4 linked regions of the Caenorhabditis elegans genome follow. The protein of the gene in region 2 interacts with the protein of the main gene of each other region in a pairwise test. Each region holds a gene or a part of one and is shown on either strand. Other genes may lie near its edges.

The links.
Region 1: the proteins of unc-42 (region 2) and dmd-6 interact in a two-hybrid assay, tested with the Caenorhabditis elegans proteins (one large-scale study listed by BioGRID).
Region 3: the proteins of unc-42 (region 2) and fozi-1 interact in a two-hybrid assay, tested with the Caenorhabditis elegans proteins (one large-scale study listed by BioGRID).
Region 4: the proteins of unc-42 (region 2) and ztf-15 interact in a two-hybrid assay, tested with the Caenorhabditis elegans proteins (one large-scale study listed by BioGRID).

What each region holds. Positions count from the first base shown.
Region 1 is NC_003282.8:14,614,743-14,622,631, forward strand, and holds the start of dmd-6 (DM domain-containing protein), read left to right. Parts: upstream 1-1,860; 5' UTR 1,861-1,968; intron 1,969-2,321; exon of another isoform or gene 2,322-2,342; intron 2,343-2,427; exon of another isoform or gene 2,428-2,448; intron 2,449-2,613; exon of another isoform or gene 2,614-2,634; intron 2,635-3,264; exon of another isoform or gene 3,265-3,285; intron 3,286-3,391; exon of another isoform or gene 3,392-3,412; intron 3,413-3,505; exon of another isoform or gene 3,506-3,529; intron 3,530-3,633; exon of another isoform or gene 3,634-3,654; intron 3,655-4,391; exon of another isoform or gene 4,392-4,412; intron 4,413-4,455; exon of another isoform or gene 4,456-4,476; intron 4,477-4,669; exon of another isoform or gene 4,670-4,690; intron 4,691-4,708; 5' UTR 4,709-4,712; coding exon 4,713-4,931; intron 4,932-4,985; coding exon 4,986-5,115; intron 5,116-5,439; exon of another isoform or gene 5,440-5,460; intron 5,461-6,781; exon of another isoform or gene 6,782-6,838; intron 6,839-7,274; coding exon 7,275-7,348; intron 7,349-7,766; coding exon 7,767-7,889.
Region 2 is NC_003283.11:9,764,030-9,771,290, reverse strand, and holds unc-42 (Homeobox protein unc-42), read left to right. Parts: upstream 1-1,934; 5' UTR 1,935-2,021; coding exon 2,022-2,072; intron 2,073-2,125; exon of another isoform or gene 2,126-2,263; intron 2,264-2,941; coding exon 2,942-3,056; intron 3,057-3,538; exon of another isoform or gene 3,539-3,611; coding exon of another isoform or gene 3,612-3,624; intron 3,625-3,760; coding exon 3,761-3,848; intron 3,849-4,258; coding exon 4,259-4,439; intron 4,440-6,145; coding exon 6,146-6,202; intron 6,203-6,252; coding exon 6,253-6,428; intron 6,429-6,474; coding exon 6,475-6,646; 3' UTR 6,647-6,757; downstream 6,758-7,261. UniProt on the Caenorhabditis elegans protein: Probable transcription factor. Required for initial outgrowth and pathfinding of axon growth cones along the ventral nerve cord (VNC).
Region 3 is NC_003281.10:9,280,037-9,284,816, forward strand, and holds the start of fozi-1 (Formin-homology and zinc finger domains protein 1), read left to right. Parts: upstream 1-1,744; 5' UTR 1,745-1,897; intron 1,898-4,780. UniProt on the Caenorhabditis elegans protein: Acts redundantly with hlh-1 to promote body wall muscle cell and coelomocyte specification in postembryonic mesoderm progenitors, probably through suppression of sem-2.
Region 4 is NC_003279.8:7,253,649-7,259,210, forward strand, and holds ztf-15 (C2H2-type domain-containing protein), read left to right. Parts: upstream 1-1,862; 5' UTR 1,863-1,878; coding exon 1,879-1,902; intron 1,903-1,946; coding exon 1,947-2,060; intron 2,061-2,105; coding exon 2,106-2,195; intron 2,196-2,243; coding exon 2,244-2,330; intron 2,331-2,372; coding exon 2,373-2,588; intron 2,589-2,772; coding exon 2,773-3,246; intron 3,247-3,385; coding exon 3,386-3,778; intron 3,779-4,079; coding exon 4,080-4,574; intron 4,575-4,626; coding exon 4,627-4,770; intron 4,771-4,820; coding exon 4,821-4,973; 3' UTR 4,974-5,051; downstream 5,052-5,562. Other genes in the region: Mitotic checkpoint serine/threonine-protein kinase bub-1, read left to right, coding at 1-134, 180-949, 994-1,483.

The sequences.
Region 1 (7,889 bases), on a different chromosome or scaffold from region 2:
GCAACAAAATTTTTTTTGTGATAATTTTGAAACAGTAATTTTTTTTCAATTTTTTTTTTCAAATTCTATAAAAATATTTCTCGCAGTTGTTTTTCATTCTATTTCGTTCCAATCAAAAAATTCTGCGATCTCTTGTTCAACATCGTTTTCTCTGATCATAATCTCAACACAAGCAGCTTTTCCTCCATGTATTTTTCGAGATGTGACGCCTTTACAGGGAGGGCGTTTGATCTCTACAAAAGCGTGAGCTACTTAGTGGGGCCAGAAAAGTGCAATTTACTTGCATAAGAGTAACAACAAAAATCATAGCGACCCCCCGCCTGCCCGGCTGTATCTCGATCACGGATCTTTTGAGTAACATCAGTTCCAATTGAATATCCGTAATTTCCGTAGTATCCGTAGTATCCGTAGGCCGTAGTTTGTAGCAGTAACAATTTTCTGGATAGAAGTTTAAGAAGTAAATCTTAAAACTTGAAATCAAGAAATAAAAATTAATAGTTTAACTTTCGAAGTTTGAATGTCAAAATTTAAAAATTTTTAAAATTTGGAAATTTTTTTCACTGTTTCAAAAATTCCATGAAAATTCCTCGCCGTTTCAAGTGTTAGTAGTAGTTCTGAAAGATCCCAATGAACATTCTGTGACTCGATATCTCCACCTCCAGCAGCAGAATCCGTTCAAATGTGGGATTTCTGCATTTACCGTGTTTTTCTTATCTAACTCGGCGGATCTAACCTTTATTCACACGTACATTCAAGAATTCAGTATTTGTAGTAAGTGTAGTTGGTGAGAAATTAACTGAAAAATTAACGAAATCCGATCTTATTTTAAGTTTTCCAAAAAAAAAAATTACTGTTTTAAAATTTATTATAAGGAAACGGTGATTTTTTCGACAATTTTTCAATCCAATTTATTTCCAATTTATTTAACTGTTCTGAATCTTAATATAAACCATGTCGCTGGAAAATATAACAATTTTATGTGCAGTTGCAATAACTAAAATTTCCAAAAAAATTTGTTTTCCGCATTTTTCTAAGTTCAAGCTTGATTTCTCATTAATGGTCGCATCTTGTTCCTGTTACAGCCAGAAACCTAAACTTTTTTCACAATTTGTTACCTGTTTGGAATGTTAATATAAATTTCGCTAAAATATATATTTAAATCTGTTGAACTGCCGTTCCCGCCAAAATTGACCAATTTTAACTTTTCGGAAAAAAAATACTGTTTCAAAATTGCATGTTCCTAATTTCAACTTTCATTTCTCAATAACTTCGGTTCTTTTTTTTCCTGTTACAGTCAAGAAACTTCCCAAAAAATCCCTCAAGATATTCATCTCCCGTGCTTCGGCCTCTTTCTACCTTGAAACTCCTACATACGCCCTTAATACGAACTGTGTCTAGTTTAATACACTCGTTATTCCCTTCCATTGCATTTCCTCATCTTCACTTCATTCTGGATCGTTTTTGATTGGGATCTGAAGCTGCGTGGAAACTGGCTTTTTCGATGAAAACGTGATCGAATTTCTGCATTAAGAATCACTGATTAAAATTTTCAATTTACAGGTTCTAATTGTACTCTTTTTTTTTTGGAAATTTTTTTCACTGTTTCAAAAATGTTTCTTCTAAACTTTTCAACAAAACCTCACTGATTAAACTTCGTCCAACATTTTCCGACAGTTTTCTCTCCATATATACTTTTAATCTTTCGGTTCCCTCTGCGCACGTGAAAAATAATCGTATTAAACAGATTTCGTATGCAAAACTTTTCCATAATTTTTTCAAAAATCACAATTTTGGCTTCTCTCTTTCCAATTTACTATACAATTTCTCCGCAAATTTTTAAAGAAATTCCTCTTTTTTCAGACTTCATCTCACTTTCATTGCCAAATCATCAAAAAGAAGCCATTTTTGGTTGGAGCTCGTGTGGCTCAACAATCAAAAAAAAATATTATTTTGTGGAGCTGGTCATTGGTAAGTTCGTGTTTTTTTTGTTGCAAACATATTTAGCCACTTGAGGTGTCTAGGAAAACCGGTGAAGATGTTTGTATAATGTTAGTCGGAAGCACAAAATTAGTGCAAATGACGTGGCGGAGGAAACGGAAAAAATTCAAAATTTTGGACTTTGGAAAAAATTAACTGTTTCAAAACATTTTGAAATTTACACAGAGAGCATTGTTTTTTTTTATAAACAAAACTTAAGTTTGAAAATTGCAATAATTTTCGTCGCTTCTTGTAGCTTGGCTGACAACCACAAAGTTTTGGTTTCAAAAATATTTTACTGTTTCAAAAAGTTCTGAAATTCACAAATAAATGTTTGTTTTTGCTATGATATCGCCCTGTATTGGTCCCAATAAACTAAACTATTCTGATTAAAAAATTTTCAACTGTTTCAAAATTTTGAAAAAAGTTCCATTTTTTTTAAGTGTTTGCTCTATTCTTTCTTTAAAAGTTTCACCTTATTGTACATTTTGTAGACACATTTTGTAGACTACAAAGGCTACGTGTTTGCCAGTTCTTTCACTTTTTGCCGTGTCACTTGTTAGTCATTTCTTACAAGAAATGGGAACTTTTCTGTTTCACAATGTCTTTTTCTTTTAAAAAAGTTTGAGCTTCAGCTGAAAAGAAGCTGAAAATTTTTGTTCCTGCTTCAAAGAGAAAAACACTGAAACTTTGAGCTTTTTGTTGTCAATTTACTCGGCGATCTTTAAAGAGACGAAGAAAAAGAAGAAATGTTTTGTCTGGCGGTTGTGTTCTCTGTTTTTGCGGGTCCCCCAACTCCAGTTTTTTGATCACTTATTTTTCCTATTTTTTTGAATCATTTTTCTTGACTTTTTCTAGATTTTTCTTCTCTGGAAAAGTCACAGAATGATGATGATAAAGTTTGTGATCAAAAACACACTTTTCGACCTCTTCAGTCATTCAACCCGGTTAGTGGGAGGAGGTGGAGAGTAGGTCAAATATTTGCACACCCCGCCTAAACTTTGTACCGCCCAATTTTATGTTCATTTTCTGTGTGCCGTGTGTAGTAGAGGAGGAGCAACAAAGAACCGAACTTACGGAACTTTGTACCTATGGAATTGATGTGTTTTGTATTAATTTCTATATTTTTTAAATTCTGTCGAAAGCACTTTGAACTTTGTGAACTTTTCATATTTTTATTTTGAAACAGTAATTTTTTTCTTCAAAATTTGAAATTTCAAAAATTCGAATTCAAAATTTTAATAAGATTTTAAAAATCTACATAAATATTTTTTGTTGAAAAATGATGAACCTACTTCGTTGGTAATAGCAAAAAAAAAAGAGTCCACAACATTTTTAATGCATATTTTGAAACAGTGAAAAATTTCACTGTTTTTAAATTTTTACGTATACATAACCGCAACATAATTTTTGATTTGTATTTCTTATTAGGAGTAAATTGTTATTTTTAGTCAGTAATCAAATTCATATGCCAAATTTCACAAAATTTACAGTGAAAGTGTTATTAAATTTCAAAATTTGAAACCGTAATTTTCCTGTCGTTCTACAAGTAGTATGCCTCTACTTTGAAATAATCAAACATTTTCCGTGAAACAGTAACTTTTTTTCGATTTTTAAAATTTTTGCAAATCCTTTACTGATGTGAGTTTTTTTATTACTAATAGAATCACATAAATATTACAGTTCCAGTTTTAAAACTCTTAAACATTTTCTGTGAAACAGTAAATTTTCATTAAGAATTCCAATTTTCAAAAATCATCTACAGTAACCTAGTTATCTCCATCTAAACGCTTATTTCCTTGTCTGAAAATGTCTTAATTTACTTCCTCTAGATATTTTCTACTTATTTTGCACAACCATCCTCTCATTTCCGTGTTCTGCTTCTTCTGTTTTGTGCTCCGTTCGCCTGGTCATCTATTTCTCTCTGTGTGTGTTCTAGATCACAATTTGTGTTGTGTTCTCCAGTGTCTCTGCTGCTTCGCGTTAGCATGTTTTTCACCCAATTTTTGAGCTTTTCGAGCCCAGACTAGTAGACCCCGAGTGATCTTCGAACACCCCCCTGTGTGTGTGTGTTCCCCGCATATGTGATTATTGAACCACTAGGGACTGGAAAAATAGGAACGAGGAAGCTGGAACACACACCCATCGAGTGTGTTTTTTTTCGAATGGGAAAAAAAAAAGAAATTACATATTTTTTTCTCTTACTCTCTTGTAGGTCCCTTTGTAACTTCCGCTTTGACCCTTGGAGCTCCTCCTCCATTTTTGTCACTATTCCTGATCAGTCTTCATGATTTTAGGTTAGCTAAGGTTAAGCTCTTGTGGATTACTGTAGTACTCTTGGAATATATATGTCTTGAAGAAAAATTACTGTTTCATTATTTTCACAAGTTTATACAGTGATCATGTTGCATCAATTTGCTGTGTGCATCTAGCAGAATTACTGTGAATCATTAAATTCAGTAAGACAATTAGATTTTTTTCGAAATTTCGGGAGCTTCATTATGTAAATCATAACTAGCCAACGAATATTCAAGTTTTGAAACACTAATTTTTAAAATTTATTGAAATTTTTTAATATTTCAATTTTCTGTTTCTAGAGGTCTGTTTTTTACACATATTTTAAACTTAAAAAATTAAAAGAATTCCTGTTTCACGCTGTTCGTAAGAAGTCTTACTTTGAAAAATCTTTTGCTCTCCTTCCGTACATATCTCAAATTCCCAATTCTTTCAGTAAAATGAGCCCACACATCATCGCTACTGTAACCATCGACGACGAGCATCATCATCATCATCACCGCAGCAACGAGAACTACTCTCCATCATCCCAAGACATGGACTCCCCAAAGCCAAAGGGACGCATCCTTTACTGCCGAAAGTGCGAAGGACACGGCGAGAAGGTGATCCTCAAGAATCACTCACCACAGTGCCCATATATTCTGTGCAATTGCAAATCGGTAAGTTCTAGAAGAGTCTGGGAGCTATTTTGTTTTCAAATTTTCAAATTTTAGTGCGAGAAGCTAAACTACAAGCGCCTGAAGTCGTTCAACAAGAGAAATAAGGAAAAGATCGAGTTGGCAGCAGCTCTGAATGCAAAGAGACATGCTCCAGAATCCGGATCCAGTGTTGACGATGAAGAAGGTGAGCTTTTCCCTGATCTCTGTCTCCTACTCCTTCACTATCAAATTAGAATCCATATAGTACCCATAGATCTCTGATTTCTCAGTTGTGTTTTGGCGCTTACTCCCTAGTTCCCCCACAAATATGCATAACTTCCGTCTAGATTTCCACAAAAATGTACTCGGTTGTTTTGTTCGTTTCTCGTACGCGATCGAAAATCTCTGTATGACTAACAACGTAGACAGCAGAACCACTGAAAGATCAAGTGTTATTTCAAAACTATTTTGGAGTTTGCGATGATGTTTCATATTTGTTAGATATTTTGGAAAGGACATGATCTTTTGATTTCAAGAGTTTACTACAAAATTCGATCCCATGACATTCACTTTTCAAAAACAAAGCAACTATTTGCCCAACTTTTGCAAAAAAGTAGACTGTAGGTACCGGTACTAGACTAATCTTTTGATAGTGTTATCAGTTTTTTTCCTTTATACCATTACAAAAATCACCTGATTCTTGCGCTTTCTGATCGTTCCAGTGTAATTCGTCGCACTTTTGGAACGCCGCAATAACAAAATTCTATATTCAGAACAAGTGTTCTTAGATCGCTGAAAATTCTATTTCCTAGTTCCATCCCTCGAATCTACGAATCTTGTTTTCGTCGTCTTGATATATACAAAAATGTGTGTCCTGATCGACTCGAACCCTCCACTGACCTTTTTGTTTTGCTCATTCGCCATCTACTTGTTTTTAGTACATTCCAGCAACTCTTTCTCCTCCTCCCCCCCCCCCTTTCATCCCTTCTCTTCGGTCGCTTCAGGACCTTGCACTCTTTCTCATTGCGTCTGCACACTCTCATCACATCTGTACTATTTCTCGTTTGCCCTGTCTGATTTTCGCAACTACTAGTCTACTCGGTTCTCATCGTCCTCTCGTTTTTCCACGTTTTTTCACATTTTAAGGCACACACACACACACAGAGAGGATGACGAAAAGGCGCTCACATTTTCAGTACACAATCACTTTTCTGTGTATGTGTTTGTGTGCCCAGCCTCCCGAGGACGACTGTCTCTTCTGTTATTCGCGAATATTTCAGGCATTTCGTCTAGTCTTCATTTTCATTTTTATGTATTATAATTTCGGTTCTGTCTTCAAAAAATTGAGCTAAACTCCTTGGAACGTCTTCCGTTTTGAGTTTTAGCTCCCTGGTTTGATCCCTTATGCAGCCCGTCTACGATCTTTTTGCATTTGATTATACGTAATTATTTTCTCTCTCTCTCTCCTTTTCATTTTTCACAATTTTCCCACTCAATTTATCTGTCTACAAAGTTATGCTTTGGTGTCTCAATGACTCACGACGGTTGGCACATATCTCGTGTCAGTTCAAAATAATAGCAATTATCATTTGAATATCCGCTGACCGATGGTTAGATTGAGCACGTATGCGCGTATGCTGGCCAAACAGAAATAGAAATTCCAAGTATGTGTCTGGAGCCGCCGGCTCGACTGTAAACAGATTTCCGTCACTTTTCTTGTTCTCAATTTTCGATGTCTACATATAAATGAATAGAGATTAGAAATCATCAAAATGGCGTTGACGTAGGCAAATGGTGAATCACATTAGCTCACATTACGTATGATCCCTGTGTTTTGGTGTGCTGCTCTTTCATATACATTTTTTTTCATTTCTCTCTCTCTCTCTCTCTCTCTCTCTCTCTCTCTCTCTCTCTCTCTCTCTTTTCTAATAGGACTGAATCAGTGGGAGTAAGTGTACACAGACTATGAAAAAATAATGTAAAAAAGGTGAGCAACACACCAGTCGCACCAAATAGTGAAGGATTTAAAGATCACCGAATTTCTATTCGCGTCTCTTTCTTCTTCCTCTCTCTCTCTCAACATGTTTCGTCTCCCATTTCACTCCGTCGTAAGCCGGCGGCATTATCCAGTGCGAGACTCCTTTCCCAAGTACGGAACCCTTGTGTCCCTCTACTGATCTTTATCCGGCACCTAGTACCTGTCCTATATACCCACACTCGGGGCCCCCCGAGAGAAAGAAAGATGCATTCGATTTTCTATTGTTTCTCATTCTGCAGTGAAACGCGAAACACTTTCCATTTTCTTCTTTTCCAACACATACACACACACAATATGTTCCAATTCAATATTTCGAAACTTTTCAGGCTTCTCCCGCCGTTCCTCATTCTGCTCAAAAACTTCAACACCAGACATGGACTCGGAGACGAGAACCTCATCGGTAAGTATTCTCCACCTAAACTAGACTCTTGTTTTGCACTTCATATGTGTAAGGCATCTGTCAATAGCTAGCTGGCTTTCTTTCTCTGAAATCGCGGTTTCTTAGGAAAATATTCTAGTCTGCTCATAGCTCTCACGCGCACCTTGACCTAACAGCTGCATGAGAAGAAGACGTCGACGACAGAACCAGTGAGAGAGGGAAAATTCTGATCTTATGGTTTTTAATCTGCTCCTGCTCCAAAGCATGCGCTCTCTCTCTCTCTCTCTCTCTTCGCACGCTGCTCTGGCTCCCTCCTCACGCAGCGGCGCTCACATTTTGTCAGAATAGGCGGAGCAGGTGCGCGAGCCCTGTTATTACTTTATCTTCTCATACTCTTGAGCTCATTTCCAATCTCATGCTCAACTATATTCCATTTCAGACGACTCCTATCACTCGTTCCAACTCCACAATGCCCACAGCTAATGGTCTTGAAGGACGAAGTGGCTCACTTGGGCACATGACAGTCATGTCCTATGATATTTGGAAGGCCAAGTGTGCATCA
Region 2 (7,261 bases):
AAATCAATTTTTGGAATGAGAACCAGCATGGGTTCAGACCTACAAAATCAACGATCTCTAATCTGATGAATAGTTTGAATGACTGGACAAGCAACCTAGATCTGGGAGCCCAAATTGACGTCATATTTAGATTACAGCAAGGCATTTGACAGAATTCCCCACGACATTCTCCTCAATAAACTGATACGCCTGGGACTGAATAAACATATCATAGTCTGGATCAATAGTTTTCTAATAGAAAGGACATTTAGAGTTAAAATAGGAAATACACTATCTACTGTAAAAAACGCTAAATGTGGGGTTCCGCAAGGCGCTGTACTCTCACCAGTTCTTTTTGGAATTTACGTTAATGAGATCCCAACAATACTGCCCGCAAATGTTAAAGTGCAGCAGTTTGCAGATGACACCAAGCTGTATGTACACACGCCAAAAGGCGACCAGATTAATAGTCTGCAAGAAGCAATAGACAGAGTAGCAAATTGGTCCGTCAGTAACAAATTGGCTCTTAATGAACAAAAAAACCGTCCATCTCACGATAGGGAAAAAACGCCAAAATTTCACTTATAAGATAAACGGCCAGGATATCAAAAAAGAGTCAACGACACGTGACTTAGGTTTTATGATCTCTCATAATCTGGATTTTAGTGAACACTGGAAAAAGGCTATTAATTCCTCGAAATTTCAAATGTCACAAATTTTTAACCATTATAACAGTAACAAACCAAAGCTGATGATCCTATTATATAAAACATTTATTGTGCTTTTGCTAGAGTACGGAACCGTTATAAGTAGCCCACCAAAGCAGTCAGATATAGGAGCCATCGAGGCAGTTCAAAATTCGTTCACAAGGCGTCTATATAGTAGGACTGTAGGCAAATACGTCTCAATAAGTGATCCGGAATATAAAACCTCGACAGAAAGAAATGAATTATTTGGGCTCACACCGCTGCAAGGACGACGTCTGACAACCGATAAAAAAATGATTTTGAAAATGTTAAACGGTAAAATAGATCTGAAAGTACCTGAATTTTTTACCTTCTCGGACAACACTAGAACGCGTTGTAAAAGAAAGTTCTCTTGGAGCAGATGTAAATTTAAAATTAGGAAACATTTCTTCGTTAACAGAACATTAAGCCAACCGTCATTCCTCAAATTTTTATCTAATTTAAACAAGGATAACTAAGTTAGGAAACGAACGACATCTACTCTTGATCAATAACATTCATTCATTACTATCCTATGATATCTCCTGTTTTTTTATCCTACTCCTTCTCATGCTCTTTTTCTACGCCTCAGGTTCTTTCACTTTGCCCATAATCTCCCAGTCCACCCTCCGACATGAATCTTTGTATGTATCATCTTTTTTCTTTTCACGCTTCTTCAAGAACGTAATAAATTATTATTATTGTTATTATTAAATGACTACAAACATTCTGATTACATTTCCCTTTTTTTAAACATATCGCAGCATTTCTACGTTTAAATAATTCAATTAATTATTTTTAGCGTAACTGAGTATTTTAGTTTAACCACAAATTAAATCCCCTTTCAAATCGAACCCACAATTTTTCCAACCCAATTTGGATTTAGTCCGTGTGTTCGTGTGGGGTTCGCCAGTTGAACTGCTTCTCTAATTGCGATTATCGCCACCCGGCTTCAGAGTCCGTCCAAACTCGATTATAGCTTTCGCTCTCCACCGATCACTGAATTCGTTGCCGTTAAGTGTAGAAGCTCAGTTGAAGAATAAGAAGACGGAAAGAAGAAGCTGTCAAATAATCTAATTTACTTGACTCTCTCAAACCAATCCAAATCAAAAAGAAGGCGTGGCTACCTAGCTCTTCTGGCGGAAAGATGGGTACGGTGGTTGGGGCCGGTGGTGAAGGAGGAGGAGCAGCCGGAGGCGGACGGCGACCAGTCAGCTGCCCCTCTCTTCAGAAGCAACCCTGTCCGCCTCCACGACGACGTCGACAACGACTTCGGTCACCCCTCACTTTCCACATTTCTCCGCTTTCACTCACACAATGAGCGACAATCTGCTGAACGGTGCGAACGGAGCATCAACTGTCTCACAGGTAATTTGCTAACTAATTCTAGTCTCCGAGGCCCTCGACGCAAACGAAATAAACAGTAATACGATTTGGTGGCGCCGTCGGTCGTCGCCGAGAGCTCCATAATTAACTTTTCTGGCGCGCACAATATTCTTCGTCTCCTGAAGACGTTGTCGTTTTTCGGAAGACGACTGGGAGGAGTCCAAGTGTGTGTGTGTCTTCCCCTCATAAATTCATTATGGAAATTTGATTGTTAGATGCTCTCACGATCAGTGGCACACACACACACAAACCTCCTCAGTTGTCTTCCGGAGCTGGTATCGATAGCCTTCCAACTTTTCTCGCCTCCAATTTCCCTAGAATTATTGTTCAGCTCGCCATTTTAATTGATGTTAAAATCAAAATCACAGACTACCGTACCATGGACATCAATAATTTAATTCACAAGAAATAACTTTAGACATGGGTTTGAAAAAACTAAAAGTCCCACCACAAACACCGCTAAAGATCTGATCTTGGTGTGTTCAATCCTAAAGAAGCTAATGTTGGACGGGGTTCTAGATAATGATCATACAATACCTCGACACTGATGTCTGATTTTTTAGTCACAAAAAAGTTAAAAAACCAACTGTATTAGTTTATATTAGTTTGTAAGTGGAACCGAACATTTTGAAAAATAGATCTTAAGCCGGTAGAATCTCTGCTGAAAAACTGTTAAGTCACTGAATTTTTATTAGTCTTCTTGGCGTTATGTTTTACTTTAAAGTTCTAGTGTTACTGTGGATTTCCTTATTACCGTCCTTCCATTAATCGATTCCAACAGATTCCTCAATTCACCTTACATTAGTATAAAAACGTTCTACTGGAACCTACATCATGATCTATATTTTCAGTTCCAAGAAAAAGTGAAAGATCTTGGAGTATCTCTTCACGATTTCACTGCCTACTATCCGAGCTCTTTGGATACAGTCTCGGCAAGTCTTCGTCCAATTTCGGATCCATCATCAGGTTAGTCTCTACATTCCATCTTCTTTTTTTCTACACTGGTAGGGAGGAGCTTCGCTTTAGCAAGGCGAACAAAATTACATCAGAATATATCAGATTTGCGGAATCATATTTGATGTCTCTCCTTCGTCGTCCGCATGCCAGTTCATTCCTTGCATCAGTGCCTTCTAGGTTGAGCAAAAGGTCCTTCTGACCCTGAGCTTCTCTTATTATTTCGTTTGATATTCTCACCTATCCCAAGATTCAGCAAAAACCACTTCAAGTGTTTTCTTTATTAGTGTTGCGCAATAGCTTCCGCCAAAGGTATCATGCTGTGTTAGTACAACTGATACCCTTACCATGTCCCCCCGCCTTGCTCTTCCCCTCCTCAATGGTACTTCACATCTCTGGAGCATGTGCCACCGAGCCAATTATGACGCCTGTTGCCAGATGCTCACTCTTATCCATCCGTTCTATTGTATCCACTAGTCTTGACTTTGTGCGCGAAGTGTCTCTCTTCTTATTTACTATTTTAGTACTTGTGTGAGCAGATTTAGGAATTAACAACTCAATCTAACAATGTATTATTATGGTAAGACAATGTAGAGAAGGGTGTCATATTTCTTTGATTATTCCTTGCAATTCACACTAAGAATTTCGAAATTCTGCATTCCTCCGAACATCTGCCCACTTTCCATTTTTAAGCCTTAAAACTGGTGATGTTGCAGATGGCGCCTTCAAAAAGATTAAAACCGAAGGACTCGGTGGCTCGGTATTTGGATCTTCGATTGCTGGGGTCACGAACACGCCTGCAAGGTGAGTATTCTTAATATTTTGGAAGATAGGGGTACGGTAGATGTAGAAGGGATTTGATGTATGTAGGTATTCAATGTCAAAATAAGGCAGTTATCTAGATTTCATTTATTGAAACTACTCCAAAAACCCAGTTTTTTAAAAGTAAATTTGGCTATTTACCAAACCCTTGACAAAATATGTTTGCGTTTATTATTTTTTTGGCCACTATTTGGCCAAATTTAAAAATTTAGAAAGCCAAATATAATTATACAACTTGAAAGAGCCAAAATTTGACTTGTGCCGCCTATATTTTCATATCTTCAATTTCTATCAATAGTCAAGTTAATTTTCAACAAACTCTACCGTACTTCTCACGTATTTTCTTGCCTTCCCCCACCCACCTAGTGCTCCACGGCCTTTCTTAATTGCAGGCTGTGTAGCCTAGAACGGCCCGAATCAGAGCGTCTCAATTCCAGGCGGAGACATCGGACGACATTCACTCAGGAACAACTTCAGGAGCTTGATGCTGCATTCCAAAAGAGTCACTATCCGGATATCTACGTTCGAGAGGAATTGGCAAGGATCACCAAGTTGAATGAAGCTCGAATACAGGTGAGCTTCGAAATTAAACTGTATGCTCAATTTGTGAGACATGTGCTCTAATTTGTTGTTTCTTTCTCTTCTTCATATTCTTTATCTTCTTCCTCACTTCTTATTGGTATTCATCTCGCGTTAATTGCTGCCTTTGGATAGTTGTCTACCACCTCCTGGTCACCTACTGTGCGCTAAATCCACCACGCACCATCACACATCTGGTAGGGATTAGATATTGAGCTTGTGAAGCTGAGAAGAACAAATTGAGACAAAAAAGTCAATCTGCCATAATAGGGAACTTATACAACTTTTAAAATTAAAAATTAACATAGATGTACAGAAATAATATATAATTGATTAAAAACCATCTTGAAAAGTTTGATGAAGGAATTTCTTTGAAGTATCCGTTTGTAGAGAAAAGAATGCACACATATTTGGTAAACGACAATGTTCAGCCGGTAATAGTTTTTTGGATTGTTCAACTAAATTGAATATAATTTTCGAATTAATCTGATTTTTTTCTGCGTTTCGAGCTTTATTTCTTAGTGCTGAAAAGATGGGTTATCGTTCCTAAATTGACGGTTTTGTGGAATTACCAATAATGTTTTCAGCACATCTTTGACTTCAAATAAGCTTCTATTTTTTGGTGATTAAGCTTTCAGTTCTGACTGTTTTCTTTGCGATCTACTGATGTAAGTTATCTTTTGCTATTTATAAAGTTCTCTGAACTTTTTTCTATTTATAGAGTTCTCTGAACTTTCTAATAAAACAAATAAAACTTTGCCTAGATTCAATGATACATGCTTAAAACTTCTCACCCTTTCTGATTTTTTTCATTGTCTACCTACTTCCATATCCGTCATACGGTATCCTTTTTTTTTAAATATTCATAATAATAATAATAACAACTCAAAACTAGTGCCTTTGAATCTCTAAAACTCTTGTTCAAAAGAAACTCTCTATCACCAGTCTACCGTAACCCATCGTCTTCTTCTCTTCCAACATCGGCGTCTTTGTTAGGAGGCAAGCAAATTGAATTATGCTCTGCCTTTGCCGCTTTCTCAATATCCTTCCTCACCACAGCTTTTCCCTTATTCTTGAGCAGTCTATCAACATTTAGAAATACAGAAAAAGGAAATGAAGGGACTTGATAAAAAGAAAAGAGAGTGTAGCGAGGAACAGAAAAGGAAAGGAAGGATTAAAGATCCGGAGACAGTAATACTTTATGACGTGACTTTTAAAAACTTTCTTTGGTTGGATTGTGTGGGTATTAAGATACTTTTGAACTTTGTAGAATCTGAAATAAATACTCCAATTATTTGTTTACATACAATCTTGTAGAATTTGGTTGTCGTATATACCCAACAGTATACATTATTTTAATACTAAATTGCGTTTTTAATTAATTACTAAATTGCGCCAAAATCACATTTATTCATTTTTCCCTGATAATTTTAAATACAATGTTTAACGTAGAATTATAAATTTAAATACATTTCTGACTCCAATTCGTAAAATTAAAAAAACAATGACACACTAATGTATTACTAGATATCTTGTTTCTAGATGTAAGGATTTCAGGATTACTGTAGCGTATTCACACTTCCTTTACTTATTGCGTAACAGTTTTGCCACCTGGCTGTCTCTACTCCATCCCTCTAGATCTGACTTGATCATACTCATACTCCCCACTAATTTCTCGAGTAATCCAATTTTGTTTGCAGGTGTGGTTCCAAAATCGGCGAGCAAAACATCGGAAGCATGAAAAACAATTGAATAAGGTAGGAAGATGACGAATATATTCTGAATTCATCAAAAAAGTTATTTACAGGCAATCAATCCCCCGCACTCATTCCTATCCAATCCAGCGAATACTTTGATGCGACAAGGAATGTACCCAGCTGCATTGAATCGTGACGGTTTTTGGTATCAATCATATCAACGACCAATGCCATACCCAACAGCTTCTCCTTCATATTCCAACTCGTTCACTAATCCCATTGCAAAGTTTGTTCGTCTTTTTACTGTGGGATAAATATTTCGTTAATTTCAGTTTCGGTCATTCCATCACCTCTTTCCAAGCTGACGACGAGTTCTACCAGAAAAGTTTGGCACTTCGAATGACGACGACACCATCGGCCGCTACAGCTGCTACCTCACTTGCTAATATTAACTACCAGCAGACACAACCATCTGAAGCTAGTACCAACCCTCCTTCAATCTAGTCATTAACATTACAACCAGACATTTCTAATCTCCAAAGTTAACAGAAAATCCAATAATTTATGATTGCGTGTGAAATCAATTGAACAAATAATAAAGAGATCTCACTGATAGACTAATGTTGGTACGTACATTTACAAAAAGACAACGGTTTCCAATAAAAATGTTGAGAAATATCACAAAGGAGTGGGAAGTCTACGAAATGGAATGTTTAACGCGACTGATGATAAATACAATCTTACAAAACTTATCTGCCTTCTTCCTGTATTAAATATCCGGATCCTTTCCCGTTCCGCGTGTCACAAAATCACTTCTATTTGGTTTTGTCTTGTTAGAGAAATTTTGAGTAAACACCAAAAAAAAATGATTTTCGTATTTTATGTGGTTACCAGCCGCTGACCGCGCCTACGGCGCGGCCAACTCGTTCTCAGCACACTGCATTCAGTAGCGTACTCGTTCTCAGCACACTGCATTCAGTAGTTCTGGTATTGTTATCACAAAACATAATAAATAAAAATGACATGAACCGCCCATTTTAAAAGGAATTTTTTTGTTTCCATTAGGGAACAAGATAAATTCTTAATAGAATTTGGTGGCGGTGAATCGTTGTGGACAAT
Region 3 (4,780 bases), on a different chromosome or scaffold from region 2:
GATAGAAGAAGGGGGAGAGAAGTGGTCTGCGTCTCGTGAAAGTGAACAATGATTGCGTGAAGTTCAAACCAGATGTGGATATGTGTCTAGGATTTTGGAGATTTTCAGAACTAGAATTTAGGTTTTAGGCTGACTTTTTCGAGATTACAATGAATGGTTTATTTTCTTGAGATTTTTGTGGGTAGCACTACCTTGGAATACCGTATTATCCCTGCCAGACTTGAAACATTTTCAGTGTCTTTCAACATACCAGAAAAAAGCTAAAGCTTGCGCTATGAGTTTTCTTGATTTAAAACTTTAAAAATAAGAACTTTCACCTTTTGAAATTATTTACATTTCTTCGAAAGAATCGGACTTCTACAGACTACAGTTTTCAAATTTATTTTCCGAAAATTTTCCCACTGTTTTCTTAGTTTCTCTAGAATCTTTACCTGCTCAAAGTTCACACCTATTCATTTTTGTTTTCCCGTTTGTTGTTTTTTTTTTCATTCACCTTTTCTTTTTCCCCCATTCATCGAGCTTTTTTTGGTGTCTGTCATCGAGTCCATGGGCTTAGCGAGGCTTGAAGATGAGCGCGCGCAACTTTTCGCGTTGATTGTCGCATTATTCCCCCGCGATCCCATTTTGCTCTTCTCATCGCAACAGCAGCAGGCTCACACGTCGTTATAGTCTCCTGTTTGTTTCGCAAAAAAGGACTTGGCGTCCCCGAGAAGAAAACGATACGCAAACACATATATAGATTGCAAGCAAGAGTGAGAGGTGTGTGCAAGCTTAACTCGGAACACAACGGGAGCCACCTCTCGACCTTGTATGGGAGAAGAGTCAATGCGCCTGGAGGTTGAGAAAAGAAAACAATGATCTTGATCCAAAATGATCTCGATTTCTTTTTTGAGCATTTCCAAACATCCAGAGAGCTCATACCGTAACTTCCTACTATTTTTAACATCAAAGCTCTATATGCTATAAGATTATGAAAAATGTGATTGAAAAATGGAGATTTTGAGAACATCCAGGGATCATCCAATGGTGGTTTACAACTTTTGATAGCTTATTTTATCCATTATAATATCCAGATTTTTCACAATTTGTCACTTGTTATAGTAGCTTTGTGACAGATTTTTATTTTATTTTTGCTTGAAATGCTCTCCACAGGGTGGTTTTTTTCGCTGTTCTCTGTATTTGAACAATTTTTTAAGATTTTTTCAGTTTTATTTCAGCTAGAAAAGTTTAGAGTAAATAGGCTACGGTATAAAAAATAGGTTACGGTAGAAAAACAAAATCTTCGTAAATTGTTTAGATTTTTTGAAATTTTCAGTTGACGATTAGGTAAAATGGTAAAAAAGAAATGTTCAAATGAAAATATTTTTAAAAAAATTTGAATTTCAAAAATTTGTTGCAGAAGTTTAGAGCGTTCATGTAGGCGCCAAAACGTCATTTCTTAATTTAAAAAAAAGTTCAGAAAAATGCGCGAAGATGGTGTGAGGAAGCCAGTTTTCAGGCAGGCGCCATGTTTTGAAACCGAGCCTGCCTTGTATAGAAGCAATGCAGAAATGAACATTTTCATGTTCAACATCTGAAATTATGAGTGATTGCAAAAAAAACCATTTTAAAACATTTTTTGAAAAGTTTACTTGGCTCTAAATTTAAAACTTTTGTTTTTCAGAAACCTAAATCTTCAATGTTAGAAGCTACCGTAACCCTTCTCCCCCGTTTTCAAAAAATCTCATCTCTCCTTAATTTGTATTTTCAGAGCATCCTACAACCTCTTCTCCAACGTGCTCCAGCCAACTGACCACTTCACTCTCTGAAACCGTTCGCAATCAGCGGAAGACGCTGGTGGGGATTCGTCTCCGGCCGCCTGCGCCTGTACACACAATGACATAGACACAAAGAAAAGGTGAGGAGTGTGATCGTATTGAGAAATGTGCGAAAACGGGAGTAGGAGCTCCTGTGCTCAACCTTCTTATTCTCTTTATTTGACATATCGAGAGCATAGAGATGGACACCCCCTTAGAGCCACATTTGGACTTAGGCCAACGCCTGTGGTAGATTTGAAATTTCTAGTTTCTTGTTATGTTGTTTTCTTGTTTTGCTTTTCACCTTCTGAAGCTTCAGAAGCTTCTTTTGCCATCATCAACCCAATTACTATAAAGTAACAGAAACTTTCGCTGATGCTTCTCTTTCCTTCGTTTTTCTGGTACAAGTATCCGCCATCGAATGAAAAAATCTTGTTTTTAGCCCTCCCTAGTGTTCGTTGATGTTTCTTTTGTACATATATCCGTCGCTCTCTCCACCTCCATCTACTTCGATGGCAGTTGTTTTGGTGCAGGCACCAGGGGCGCAAAGGTGAAAGTGACGAAAGAGGCGTGGCAACCAGGAAAGAGTGGACCCTTAGTTTCCCAACGATTCGCCGCTTTCCCTCCATTTTCTCTAAACTTTCTCAGCTTTTCGGCTTTATCGACAGCTTCGTTCACCGTTCTCGATCATTTTTCTCACCTGAATTTTCAAAACTTTTGTCTTTTTTCCATGGAATACTTTTACATTTTCTATATGTAGTTTCATTTGTTCCAAAAAAATAAGTATTTTCTGGATAATAGGTTTCTGTATCTAAGTTTACGGTAGGTGCAAGTAACTTTGCGTAAAAATTGAAAATTAAAATGATTACTCAACTTTTTGAATACCATATTTCTCTAAAAAAGACTTGTCTTAGACCTTGCTCAACTTTGACAGTTTTGGCTCCAAATGGTTTCATCAAACAACTGTCAATTGACAAAATACGTGCAAAATATTTTTTCTATATTTTGATAGTGGAACATTTTTTGATAAAAACCTAAGAAAATCGAGATATAAGCCACTCAAATTATAACATTTTTTAGAAGCTAGAAAACGTAATTTTCAGTTTTACCTTGTCCCCCTGAAAGTTCATGAATTTCAATTTAATTATTTTTTTCCAAAAACCGCATCGTGCCAAAGATTTTCATTTTAAGCTTTATCCTAGATCCACCCGACCAGATTACCATAAGTTGAACTTGTTTTGTTTGTTGAGTTTTTATTCCAGCAAAATCGCACCGTATCTCATCTCTGATTTGTTATTCCCATTGTTTTCTGGTGGAGGTTTCGTATTCGAAATTTTTTTTTTAATTTTTAACGGCAATTTTGAATGTATTTTTCAAATGTTAACGAAGAGTTTTTTCGATAGTGTTACTGGATCTTTGATAAGCATATGATCTTCTTAGCTTTATCGTCTGATTTAAGTCCAGTAAAAAAATAATCTAGAAAAAGTTGAGCAGGTTTTATGACTGTTTTTGTGAGGAATTGTAGATTTGATTGAACATTTTTATAATCTAAAATTATTTTTAACTCAAACTTCAAAAAGCACTTCAAAAATGCAACGAGTATGATGGATGGAAGTCAACCACAAAAAAACATATTTTTTAGATTTCTAAAACTGAAGGCTCTAATTTTTTAAACATTAAGTTTCTAGTAACAAAGTCAAAATTTACTCTGCTATTTCGTACTAGCTACTTCCTCATTTCGAATTTTCAACTTTGACCTCATGGACATATCCACGTGTCGACACAATTTCTAATCGGCTAAGCTCCTACTTAGTCAGTTTTCATCGCGACTAATATTTAACAACGATGGCCTTATCCTATTCAGTTAAGCCTTGGATTCAAAAATTTTGAAAATCTCATACGAAATTGAAAACCTATCAACGTATCAAGTTGGTGTCGGGTCTTCTATATTTTTTTTGGTTAAAAAGAAGATTGAAGCCCTTTAAATTTTATCCAGCTTCATCGAAGATTTCACAAATTTCAATGAAATTATTCTTCAAAAATCATCGAGTCTCCTCCCTTCTTCCCCCACTTTTTCGACATTAACTTCCCATTTTTTGAGAGGTCATCAAACTTTTAATGATCTCTCGAGTCGTCCATCAACTTTCACTCATTTCACAGTTGTTTTACGGCTCATAACTCCGCGAATCTCGCACCCATATAAACTCTCATTTTGCTTGATAATTTCACACTCAGTTGCAATGAGTACTGTAGTCTTTATGAAGTCTAAACTTAAAATTTTCACGCCAAAATAATGTGAGAATTTTAAATTTTCTAACCATGATTGAGAGAAATTTCCAAAAAGTTACTGTATTTCCTTACATTACTTCACTTTGAAAAGTTACATTTCGGTTTATTTTGAAGATTTCAAATTTTCGTACTATTCCTTTAAAAAAACATAAATAATAAAATTTATGAAGTATCTCATTGGTTTCACTGCTTCATATTTCTGGGAAATAAAATATTTCTATTGACCTAAACTATCTTAAAATTATCTATATTCCAATTTAATACTATGTACTTTCCATCTCACCCATCTACCGAGTTAACTGCAAAATTTTTCAAAAGTTATGAAACTAATTATTCCTCCGGCAAACAAATGTGCCTATCACACGCTCTATTCATACCATATTAACTTGCTAATCAACTACTTTTGTGTTGTTAATCACTGACACATATGTAAATTTCATCCTCCAATATCTCGCTCCTATTGTTCCTCCTGTTTTTGAATCATGGTGGTGCTGCCAACTCAGCTCCACTTAGGGGCGGCGCCTGATGTCCAATTGGGCTCTGCCGGCTTTTGCTACCAACTCATTACTTTTACACCTACGGTACCTATTTTTTGTGTTTTTCAGGATACCTCTCAACTATTCATCAGCTTCATCTAGTCATCTTCTTTTACCTGTAAGTAGTGAACAAAACAAAAACTCGAAGATCCAATGTTT
Region 4 (5,562 bases), on a different chromosome or scaffold from region 2:
TCACATCGACCCCCGCACAAGGAGTTCATTTGGTCAACATTGATGAATATTTCGGAAATAAAGAGGAGGAAAGCACTCACGAACAGGAAGCTCCAGTATTTGTTGCTCCAACCAGCAGTACTTTCAGTAAATTAGTAAGTGCCAGACAAATTTTCGACATACTATTCAAACTTTTTCAGACACGTCGAAAGTCACTAGCAGCAAATCAAGCCGTTCAGCCCTCAGTCACAGAGTCATCAAAGCCTGAACGATCAGATCCTAAAGATTCATCTATCGATTGTTTGACAGCTAATCTAGGAAGACGTCTTTCAATTGGTGCTGATGAAATTCCAAATCTCACTGAAAACAACGAATCTGAAATCACTGGTTGCAAGATTCGTCGGCGCAGTGAAATTATCAAGCAAGGAGACATCAATCCATGGGACGAAACTCTTCGAAAAAAATTGATGTGTCTTGTGCGTCCTCCCCAGAATATGCACGAGTTCCAAGAACGAGCACCGAAGATTCAAGCTCTGAGAGACTGCGAGGTTAGCGGAGAAAAGCTCCACATTCAAACTCTTATTGGTCAAGGTGGATACGCTAAAGTATACCGGGCTGTAACCGATGATCAAAGGACAGTAGCTGTGAAGTACGAGGTGCCATCATGTTCGTGGGAAGTGTACATTTGCGACCAAATGCGGAATCGCCTGAAAGATCGAGGTTTGGAGCTGATGGCCAAATGTTGCATTATGGAAGTGATGGATGCTTATGTTTATTCAACTGCTTCGCTTCTTGTTAATCAGTACCACGAATATGGAACGCTGCTTGAATATGCGAATAACATGAAGGATCCGAATTGGCACATAACCTGCTTCTTGATTACCCAAATGGCCCGAGTTGTGAAGGAAGTCCATGCCTCTAAAATTATTCATGGAGATATCAAACCGGATAATTTTATGATCACCAGAAAGTATGGGAAAACATTTGTTAATTTTAGACGTTATCTTTTTTCAGGATCGATGATAAATGGGGCAAAGATGCTCTGATGAGTAACGACAGCTTTGTCATCAAGATTATCGACTGGGGACGTGCCATTGACATGATGCCACTGAAGAACCAGCGTTTCAAGGGAAGAGCAGGAACAGAAGCGTTTGATTGCCCGGAAATGGTTGACGGTCGTTCTTGGACTTACCAAGCCGATTACTTCGGATTCGCCGCAACAATGGCTGTCGTTGTTGCAGGAAAGTATGCACAGTTGACTGGAGCTAGCGTTGGAGACTATTCGTTAAATGTCGACATCAAGAGGCGCAACATTCTTCGCGATGCTTGCTACGATGTCATTAACAGATTCCTCAACATCCCTTCGTGTGATTCACTTCCGGACTGGAATATCCTGATCAAGTCTTTCTCGGAAATCTGGAATGAAAAGTTTGAAGCATCGGGATGGCGACAGGCGGTTTCCAAGTTCAATGAGGCCTGTGATCTTGCCGCCAACCAAAAGTAGCCCAACACAATGAATTTGTATTTCGTGCTCTTATTGCTCTCTTTTATTGTCTTTTGTATTGATATCATGTGAATAAACTCGTTCGGAGCTTTAATAATTGTGCATCTAATTTATTTCTGGTAAAACAAATTGAATTAAACGAAGTTTTCAGTTTTTGAAAGCTTTCCAAATTTGAACGTGATATTCGAGATTGGGCGCGGCGAGACCCATCACGGTAGAAATTTGATGCGCCTTTAAAGGGAAGTATTGCAATAGATCACAGTTAGATCTAAATAGTTGCACATTCGTTTTGTTTCATCAACTGTTTTCTTCGCGTTTTGCATAAAATGTGATATTTAAAAAAGAATTTAGAAAAAATTACAATTAAAATATTTTCCAGCCATCCTCTTGTAAAAATGGAAGAATCAGATCAGACTGTGGTGAGCGCTAGTGTTTAATCAACTTATTTTGCAAAAAGTTTCAGCTTTTACCAAATGTCGAAAATGAAATTGGCAGTTTTTATCATGACATGCCTGATGAAAAATTGCTTCGTCATATCAAAGCAATTTTCGACGAAGCTTCACTTCGACCATCTTTGGTATTTAATCTTCATTGAAACCTCAACATAAAGTTAGAGTTGTAGACTAAAAACGTGCCATCCACATCTTCACAAGTCACAGAGGAATTGAATAAAGTTGAAATCAGAGATCCAAAGCATGAAATGCAAGATGAGGTTGAAATATAAATTTGGTAAAAATGCTGTATAATTTTCGAATTCCAGCAATATCTTTCAATATTCGAAAATCCGTCCGGAGTTCAGTACAACCAAGCTGATGGCTCATTTTCGTGGAATAATCGCTTCCATAGTGTAAAAACCAACTGTAATTCATTTTCTAATGAACATTTTCAGGACAACAGCGTCCAATACATAAACGTGTTGAACAACTATGGTTGTGAAGGTGCTGATACACTATTAAATCAGTCAGACAGTAGCGATGAAACCGATGAAAGTATCGAAGAAAGACGGACCCCACGAGGAAACCGGCAGTCGCGTAGTAATTTGACATCGAAACCCTCTGCCAAATATTGGACAAAAAGAGGAGGAGATCCAATTGTTAATTGCTCGGTTAGTTCATTTTAGTTCTATATCTCATTCTCTGTAAATGAACAAAAACCTTCACTATTATCACTATTATACCATATCACTATTATAGATTTATTTATTACAACTTAAAAGTGTGTACCAACCATCAAATTTCTCAAAATCTAAAGCATAACATTCTGAACATGATTTTATTCTTCAATTTCAGTGCTCAATATGTGGATCCAAATTTTCAACCATTCGCTGTCTTCTTGATCATCGTCATCAAGAACATTCACTGAAAGATATGATGATGTGTGGTCTCTGTGGAAAAGAGTTTTCGAAGCGAACACATATCTATTTGCATCTAAGTCAAGAATACAAAGTATATCATTGTGACGGTTGCAATACATCGTTTGCCAGCAAATGGCACTTGGAAAAGCATCGATGTAAGGAAAATGAAACAATCGACGATAAAAAACGAAGAAGAACGGGACGTGTAAATGCGGAAGAAATAAAAGTAATAAAAGAAGAGATTCAAGATGAAGAATTTGGTGGCGTTGTTTTGTCTAATGAGAATCATGAAAAATCAAAAGAAGACCGTTTCCAATTCGCTTGTGTATTATGTGGAAAGAAATATCAACACTATCATTGGTTGCTCAAACATAGAACCAAATGCTTGGAAACAACGGACGAAATTCAGGTGGAGAATGTTTAGTGAAACGTTTTTGCGAGAACTTCACTAATTGAAAATATAAACTAATTTAACAGATTATTTTTTCTTGTTTTACAAAAAAAAAATAAATTTCAGTCAGAGATGGGACATAAACATTGTTTTGCAGGAATTCAAGTGCAATGTTTGCTACCGAAGATACAATTCGAGTTTTTGGTTCGAACGCCACATGGAAAAGTGTAATTCATCTACTGCACTTCCTCCTGCGCTTTTAGATCAAACCATAAGCTGTCCAAACTGTCATAAAAAATATCAAAATGAATATTGGTTTGATTATCACAAGAAGCATTGTCCAGACATTACTCCAGCTCTTTCTGATGTACATTTGGATGTCAACTCGTTGCGGGACAGACGACCACGTGAAGGAGAGATCAGCGTGGTTCCAGATGTCAATTTATTTGGTATAGAACCTGAAAGAGAAGACGACAATGACGATGACGAAGATGCTGATGCTACCATTTCATCCTCATCTTCTTCGACTGGGAATTTGGTCAATATTCCGGTAGATTACTTCATTTCTTTTAAATCTTTTTGTTTGGTTAACATACTTCTTTCAGTAATCATGTCTTAAAATCTAAATTATCACCAAAGAATGTAAATTTAACATTTTGAAGTGAATGATTCATATGATAAGATTGTATTAAAAGGGAATACGTAATAGGATTACTGTAGCTGTATCTGCAATATTGCGGCAAAAATTGATTTCTATTGAAAAATTGAAAAATTGAAAATTGACAAAGGTATCATTATGTTTTACAAAATTGAAGCTCTAAATATGTTGTTCTTACATTATAAGTTTTCAGTGTTCCATCTGTGGAAAGTTCTGTGTCGGTGTTGCAAGTCTTCTTCATCATCGGAAGCAAATTCATGGATTGACTGCAATGCTAACATGTGGTGTGTGCACGAAAAAGTTCAATACACTAAGTTCGATTCGTCGTCATATGAGTATGGAATACTCAATCTTCCGTTGCCAACAATGTGGCCGAAACTGTATCGATCGAACCACTCTTGACCGTCACGAATGCTTCAAGCCATACAAGATCCGAGATAAGAGACTTTTCAATATTCAAAATATATCAGTTCTCAAGTGCCCTGACTGCAGAGCAACTTTTGCAAATTTGAATGTTCTGTCTGAACATCGCAAGACGTGTCAATACGGCAACGTATTTGATAATATTCAACAACCGGGAAGTTCTTCTTTACGACAACATCACAGGAGCGATACAAATGGAGCCGCGTTGCAGAGAAAAATCACATCCCGTGTTCGTCTAGATTCGAATACTCCAGAGAAATGGACGGTTTGTTAATTTTCCTAATTAAAAAATAACGTTTGAGAATTTATAATTTCAGTGCCGAGATTGCCACGCCTCCTTTCATAACCTGCAAGCGTTGTGCTCACATCGACACGAATCTCACGGAAAAGAAATGTTTCAATGCAACAACTGTTCTGAAACCCTTCCAAACTATCGTGCTCTCCATGATCATAATATGATGGTAAGTTTATATGTAATGAATTTATATCACATATGCTACAACATGACCAGCATTGCAGGAACAATAGATCTACAAATGAAACAACTACGAGAAGATATTCGGAAGAAGACATCAATTACGATTACATGGACAATGTACAAATATTCGTCGTAGAAGAAAGTGAAATTTTCATTCCTATTCAACCGCATTTCTCGAGAAAGTAGATAATTCTTAATACGATGTTATGTACTGCTCCCTTGTGCTTTATTCTTTACTTTTCAGACAATAAAATTTTGAACGTTCTGTCTTCTAGATTTAAACCTTCTTCAATTAAACTCCATGTTTACTATTATTCGTTCTTCAACATTCCACAAGAAGAAAACGTTTTGTGATTCTTACCAAGCAAAGGGAGTTCCTGGAAAAAACCACAGCGCGAAACCGTACTACTTGAGTGAAGTATCCTGCCAGATCCTGGTGTCTTATCATCATTTGTGCAGAGTAAATAGAAAAGAAGAAAGAAAGAAAGAGATTGTATTTACATAAGAGAGTCTTAATTACAACTTTATTCTTGAAAAAGAAGAGTTGATGATGATGATGACAGACACACCGTTTGCGTTTTTTGAATTGATTTGATTTTCTAGAGCCTGGGGCTTTTGGAAGGCAGTTTACTGATTGATAATGTGGAGGGTCGATCGCTAGAATCGAAAGAATTATGATGTCAACGAGACTTTCAGATTATATCAATTTCAGACGTGTGGAGCGTCGGGAGAAATCAACAGAATTTAAAGATCAACGGAGACTCGGCGCGCGAAT